2 linked regions of the Coturnix japonica genome follow. The protein of the gene in region 1 binds, or shares a complex with, the protein of each later gene. Links are inferred from orthologs where the notes say so. Each region holds a gene or a part of one and is shown on either strand. Other genes may lie near its edges.

What was found. The genes of interacting proteins can lie anywhere in the genome.
Region 2: TRAPPC9 (region 1) and TRAPPC11 share a complex: the UniProt entries of both Homo sapiens proteins name them as parts of the multisubunit TRAPP (transport protein particle) complex. The link is inferred for Coturnix japonica from reciprocal best matches to the Homo sapiens genes TRAPPC9 and TRAPPC11.

What each region holds. Positions count from the first base shown.
Region 1 is NC_029517.1:131,104,240-131,107,893, reverse strand, and holds part of TRAPPC9 (trafficking protein particle complex subunit 9), read left to right. Parts: intron 1-2,922; coding exon 2,923-3,139; intron 3,140-3,654. UniProt on the Homo sapiens protein: Functions as an activator of NF-kappa-B through increased phosphorylation of the IKK complex. May function in neuronal cells differentiation. May play a role in vesicular transport from endoplasmic reticulum to Golgi.
Region 2 is NC_029519.1:35,209,232-35,212,885, reverse strand, and holds part of TRAPPC11 (trafficking protein particle complex subunit 11), read left to right. Parts: intron 1-1,504; coding exon 1,505-1,604; intron 1,605-2,342; coding exon 2,343-2,416; intron 2,417-2,643; coding exon 2,644-2,740; intron 2,741-3,513; coding exon 3,514-3,647; intron 3,648-3,654. UniProt on the Homo sapiens protein: Involved in endoplasmic reticulum to Golgi apparatus trafficking at a very early stage.

The DNA.
Region 1 (3,654 bases):
GGAAACCTGATTTCTTTCCAAATGTACTTGATCTCCTCAGTCTGGTAAAACTATGTAATGAGTCTTCTGATTTTAAGAGGGCTCCGGGGTATTAAGACTTATCTTTGCATCCAATTATGAAGAATGAATTGTAAGTGCCAATTACGAAGGAACTGAGATTATAAAAGTTTACTTTAATGTAGTTAGGAATAATCAAAAATCGTATAACAAGCTTCTCTCTTGAAATCTTACCTTAAATCAAGCCTGATAAAAAGCTTTCTCATTTTACTTGGATGGTGAACTACAGCCTTCACAGTTGTGGTTGCTGACTTGGTTTGTTGTAACAAGTAAATGAAAATTAATCATCTGGAAAAGCTGCTCTGCTTTAGGTGTTGGCTATTTTGCATCCCCGAAATAATGAGTTGGTGTATCTGTGTGGGATTGTTTTCTTGTTTCTTTTAAGCCCTTGAGTGGTGACACTGACCTATTTGTGCTGAGGGAAAACACCATTTTGGTGCCTCTGTTGTGACAATGAAGCGTAGCATCCCGCAACTGCAAAAAATAAACGTGAGTAGCTCTGAGCGACAAATAGTGTCAGTGCAGAGAACTTACTCAAACAGGGTAAAAATAAAAACTTGAAGAGAATCTGTTGCCTCTCAGCTGTTTCCAATTAGTGTGCTTTCACATCCATCTGTAAAGCTATCATGGCCTTTTATCAGGGAGTGTGAAGACATGACAAGGAATAATGGCTTTTAAGCTACAAACCAGTAGGTATCACTTAGATATCAGTAGTTCTACTCTGTGAGTGTGGTGATGTGCTTCCCCGAGGAGCTGTGTGTGCCCCAACCCTGCAGATGCTCAGGGCATTGGACAGGGCTTGTGGATACCTGTTCTAGTGGAAGATGTCCTTATTTTCTTTCCAGCTGCATTTTCAGCTCGCCACAATTGCCTTTTTACAGCTGCTGTTACAGGATTGCTCTGTCCTATGGTTGTGCTGTGGTTTTGTACTGTGCAGTCTGTGCTGTAGGGTAGTAGCAACTTCAGCTTCAGAACTTGTCTGTAGCTTGCCAGAATTATTTGCTAGTCCGTCTGTGTCTCTGAATCTTTTGATCTACCAGGGTTGGTGCTGTCAGATAAGGTCATGGTGCTCTCCGAAAGCTGTTTTGACCATATTTTGTGTCAAATCCCTGACACAAAAATTAGTAGTGACTTTTGAATACAGTTTTCTCATGATTTTGTAATGATGTCAGCATTTCTGTGACTAAAAAATGTTTTGCAGCTTTATAATACATTATTATTACTGTAAAAGTTATTGGTATATCTATAACCTTTTGACTTTCAGAGCCTGAAAGTGCCTGGAGTTATTGGAACCGGCTGCCCAGGGAAGTGGTGGAGCCACTGTCCATGGAGGTTCTCAAGAAGCATGTAGATGTGGCAGTGATGGACATGGTTTATTGAGCATGGTGGTGATAGATTGATGGCTGGACTGGGTGAACTTAAGTGGTCTTTTCCAACCTGTATGGTTCTATGTCGTTAAACACAGAATTCAGATTGATGCTTTCCATTTTGAAGAATGATTCTGGTTTGTGTCCACCAGTGATATTTTCTATGAACTTCGTCCTCGTAAATGCCCGCGAAGCTGCTAACATTATTTTGCAGAGTAACTCTTAGTAATATATGGTATTGCTTTTCTTTGTGCATGCTCGGTATCGTACACTAGGTGTCACCATTGATCCATTTTGAGAACTCACTTCACTTGTCACTGGGATCGTAGAATCATAGAATGGCCTGGATTGAAAAGGACCACAATGAACATCCAGTTTCAACCCCCCTGCTTTGTGCAGGGTCACCAACCAGCAGACCAGGCTGCCCAGAGCCACATCCAGCCTGGCCTTGAATGCCTCCAGGGATGGGGCATCCACAACCTCTTTGGTGTTATAGAGATAGAGGAGTTGGTAGCTTTGAGTCTTATTGCAGAGAAGTTTCTTCTTGGCTGCCTGATTTCTAAGCAAGATTCTCATTCATAATGGGGAAGGAGCAATTGCGTGGGCCTTGTGCAGATATATTGGCAAGCTACAGTAGTGTATATTGTCAGTGGCTTACCAAGTTTGGTTGTACTTGAAACCTAATGGGGATTAACCTTTCACTGAATTCTGCCCCATTTGTTGACAGTTTGAATATTTTGTGATTTGTGGGACTCATAAATACTGAGAGTTTAGGTTTGCTTTCAAAGTGGTGATAACATTTAATTTGATAAATCAGTAGATTTTGGAAGTGGTGTATTTTTATGTTTGTATAGTGCACCTGTATATCATGCTAATTATCACCCATAAAACATGAAAGTCTGTAGCAATTTGTAGCTGTTCTGACTTACACTTCACAGTACTGATAACTAACTAAATTGTTCAGAAAAAGCATCTTTGCAGTTCTTGTTAGCTCTTCACAGAATCACCAAGGTTGGAAAAGACCTACAAGATCATCCAGTCCAACCATCCACCCATCACCAACAGTTCTCACTAAACCATGTCCTTCAACACAATGTCCAAACATTCCTTGAACACCTCCAGGGTCGGTGACTCCACCACCACCCTGGGCAGCCCATTCCACGGCCTGACCACTCTTTCAGAGAAGTATTGTTTCCTAACATCCACTATAACTACCCTTCAGGTAGTTATAGAGTTATAGAGTAATAAGGTCTCCCCTGGGCCTCCTCTTCTCCATTCCCAGCTCCTTCAGCTGCTCCTCAGAAGGATTTCAGCAGCAAGCTGAAGATTTCCTGGCAGGGGTTGGCATGACTGGCTGTGTGCAAACATGCAAACATGGCCTTCTGTGGTGGAGATGCCTATTACATTTTTTCTTTCTTTTTTTTTCCTGTTACTCAGATACATGCTTGAAAATTGTCTTTAAAAAACAGTTTCATTTTCTTTTCCCTTTCAATTTCAGCTCTCAGAAGAAGAAAAAATCCAGCGTTACAGCATTCTTTCAGAGCTGTATGAACGAATTGGTTTTCACCGCAAGTCTGCTTTCTTCAAGCGTATCGCAGCAATGCAGTGTGCTGCACCCAGCATACCAGAGCCTGGCTGGAGGGCCTGCTACAAATTGCTTTTGGAAACACTCCCTGGTTATAGCTTATCATTGGATCCTAAAGATTTCAGCAAAGGTAAATGTCTCTGGGGGAGCATGTATTTGCTTACGGTGTCACTCAGCTGGCTTTATATAACTAACTTCCTTGTGAAGTGTCAAATAAAACCCCAATCCTTTACCTATCTGAAATTAATTGTGGCAGAGTAGCTCTTCAAAACGGCACCTTTGCTTTTTGCTGGTGTTGCTACCGATAGTTTGGAATTTCTGAGAGCTGCTGCTGGAGGTATTGCTGTGTTCCTGTGTTTGTAGCAAATGTGTTTTATTAATGAGAGCTTCTCTTCTGCTGTTTCAGAATGTGATTTTGTGCTTGTCAGTACAAAAAAGGTCATGTTTTATTTCGAAATATTTTTTTAATTATGTGCTTTCAACTTTGTGTTTCAGAAATTGTATTCATTTCAGTATGGCTTATAATCAAAGAATGAAGGATTCTTTTATATTTTTATTCATAGACACACTCAAACAAATCTAGATGTAATTACGTGTGTGTGTGTGGTTGCATTTGTATCTGTAAGGTCATGTTTCTCCACAGAT
Region 2 (3,654 bases), on another chromosome or scaffold:
TTCTTTCTGTTATTCTCTGACCCGATGAATCCCCAGATTCTCCCCTTTCTAAGTAAGGCTGAGTTATGATGTTGGAGATGTTGCTCTGTGGGCTTCCAAAGGAATATTGTTAAGTATCCCAAGATGTTCCCTTCTTCGTGTCAGATAAAGGGAAAGCAGACTAATCTACTTCTTTCATGGCTTTGTTAGTGCTCATTCTAAACGTTTTTTCCCCACAGATGTTTTGTTAGGTGTAACTCTTATTAGCGAACATTTGCACTTTTTTTTCTCTTTGCCACCTCCACTTCCTGCCAGTAAAGCTATCTATTTCTATTTGTATTAAGTAGTATTTCTTTGGGTGGAAATACTGTCTTTGTCATTGTTATTACATTCATCATGCTTTTTATTTTATTGTATTCAGATAAATTATCAAGGCTTTTCAAATAACAGAGCAGGGAAGAGTCTAAAAACACAAGCTCAAGCTAAGGCAATTCATAACTGTCTCCAGCTTTTTGAAGGCAGGGCTACATTGTTAAGGATTAACAGTTCTTTATAAACATTAAAGAAACAAACAGTGGACTACATATTCATGTACAGAGTTTCTGATTCTAGTTGTATTGACATTTAAATTGATGTTTTTGTCTGAACTTATAGTTGTTGTTCAGTGCTCCCTTCCATTGTTTCCATCCACATCCTCTGTTGTGTGGCAAATAGAACTTGAGTTGTGATCTCCTTTAGCCTGTAGTCATCCCTCCTTAGCGAAATCACAGGTCTGGTACTTCATCCCTTATTCTCTCTGTGTTGCTCTGCTACTGAATGTATTTATCTCCTGTTCTCTGACCTTCTCTTGCTCTGGTTGATTTTACTCCTTGTCCTGATTGTGCAGCATATACCTCTTACATCCTCATTCGCTTTGTACTGTATTCAGTGCTCTGGGCCTTTTTGTCTCTCCTTTCCCTGTGACTTGTCATTAGGCTCTTATCTTGTGGACACAAGCTTGACCATCACTTTTATAATCCAGGTAGCTTTTGTTCTTTGGATAGAATGAGGAAACCTAGTGTACTTTCATTATCTTCTTACACTTTACAGCCTTTTGCCTTCCTTCCTTTCCTCTTTCCCCCATCTAGCCCAGACAAGAAAGGTTCTGACCTATTAAGACTTACCTCAGGAACCTCTGCAAGGTTTGCTTGCTTTGACTGACTCATCTCCGTTTTCTACTGCCTTGTAAAATCCTGACAACTTTTCAATTGAATTTCTTACCTTAAATATTAGAGACTGTTGTAATCAGTACATAAGGATCTCAAAGCTACTTTGTTTCGTGCTACATCTCCGTGAGGTTTTGTGTGAAGAGTTTTTGTCTGCGTGTACTTACAGTGTGTGGTAACTTTCAGAAGACTGTAGTAATATTTCAAGCACTTTTGCCGACCGTAACATAAGCATGTTTTAAAGTAACTTACTTAGAAGTTATTCAGATCCCTTCTATGTGAGAGAAACTTAGTGAAACTTATGGGCAACTTTGTTGCAGGTTGGAAAACGCATTCTATGAGCATGCGCAGACTTATTATTATACAGAAATACGAAGAGTCAAATCTCATAAGGAATTCTTGAACAAAACCACTCACCAGGTAATGTTTACTCCATTTTTGCAATATCGTTCAAGTTGAATTGCATGTTGAAAGAGGAAAATAAGGGCTGTTTGTTGCTTAAACATTTTTATTCCACTCCTTGCTGCCATCCAACTTAAGAGTCCTTCTGTCTTGGTGTAGAAAGTTAATTTGCTTTTGTTTTCTGCAAGCTAAACTTTGATTTTGATTGGTTCTGCTGCAGTTTTTATCTACCTCACATTTTAAAGGAGAAACTATAGCCCAAGAATGAAGTTCTCCTATTTCAAAAGAACAAACAATTATCTATATGATTTAACCAATTTGAATGTAGTATCTTATCAAGCTGTGGGAAATTCTGTCATTACCAGCTTCATACTTGATCTGATGTTTAGCTTTTGCTTTTTAATTTGTCAGATATTTACTTAGGTACACGACTGCTGTTAGGTTTGCTAGTCTCCCTCTTTCTATTTTGGAAACCGGGGTCCAACAGTCATGCTCTGAAGCAACATGCAGAAATTCTTGTGTTACTGAGCTTCTCCCCTTTTCCAGAGTGAGAAGCTTAATGTAGATTCAGTCTGTTGGAAGACTGATTACTACTGTGTCATGGAGTCACAGAGAACTAGGAAATAATTGCACAGTCAGCCTTTGAAGTCAATGGCTCTATTCTGTAAACTTCTGAAACTATTAACTGTATCTGCTTCATAGTTAAAAGACATGTTCAGATGATTGTGAATGATATGTGCTGGTTGTGTTTTGCAGCTTCTATTTGTTAGACACCAGTTCAAAATAGCATTCTTCAGTGAGCTGAAGCAGGATACACAAAATGCTCTCAAGTAAGACTTGTATTATCTTCCCACATCCTCTCAACCCCAAATTATCAGTCTATTGCTTAGCGTTAGATTTTTTTTCTCAAATACAAAATTAGTTAAATGTATAAGTAAGTAATACCTTCTTAATTGGGAAGGACACTCCAATTAGACTGTTTACTGCTGTAAGTAATCATGTTCTTGAATTGTATTATCTTGTATGAATTAACTCTAATTTAAGTATTTATACTTAGAAATTACAGGACTGCATATAATCTTGTACATGAATTAAGGGCTCATGAAACAAACATGCTGGAAATCAAGACCATGGCAGGATTTATAAACTACAAGGTAACAAGCATTCTTCTTAACTTTGACAGCCTGTACTTCAAATAAGTATATAATTTAATTAGTTAGTGCATCTTTAATGTTTAATCCTTTTAGTGTTCTGTTTTGGTTTCTTGTTTGTTTTGCTAAGGAGATAGTTTAGAAACAGCCATCAATGCGATACCAGTTACACTCAGGCTTGTGAAGACTGAATTCCACACAAAAAGATCCTTAGCAGAAGATAAGGAGTGTCTTGAAGATTTGCAGTTAATTTTAGGTGCAGTCATTTTGAAGACTAAACTGCTTTGACTCTCTGTGCAGGGGGAATGAAAATAAGTAACTCTTGTTTCTTGAGTGTTTTTGTTATAAACTTAAACTGTGGTAGTTTAGTTACTCCTTGTTTGGAGGAGGAAGATAGCCCTTTAAAGCAATCCTTTAAGAATCAGTTCATACTTTGTTGACATTCTGGGGGGTTTTAGGTGAGGTGGTACTGTTATACCATTTAAAATAATCCTGAGGATGGACTCCAAGTTTCATCATCCTTCTTGAAATGACTACAGGCTTCAAAGTTAATGTTCTTTCTAGTGGCTCCATTCAGCTCCACCCTGAATTGGCTGAATTTTCTTTCATTGATTATGTGAGGGAGGAGGGAATAAAAATAACATTAGATGTATTGGAGAGCCACATGGTTTCAGGTTTCATTTTACATCTGTTTTTCTTCCTCTGTTTCCCATCCTATTTGTACTCTTGAGAAATACGATAAATTAGTATAGTTTGTGTTTTTTGGTTTCTTCTAGATCTGTCGTCTGTGTTTTCAACACAATACTCCACTGGATGCAATTGCTCAGTTTAGGAAACACATAGACTTATGCAAGAAGAAAATAGGAAGTGCTGAACTGGCTTTTGAGCATGCTGCCTGGATGTCCAAACAGTATGTT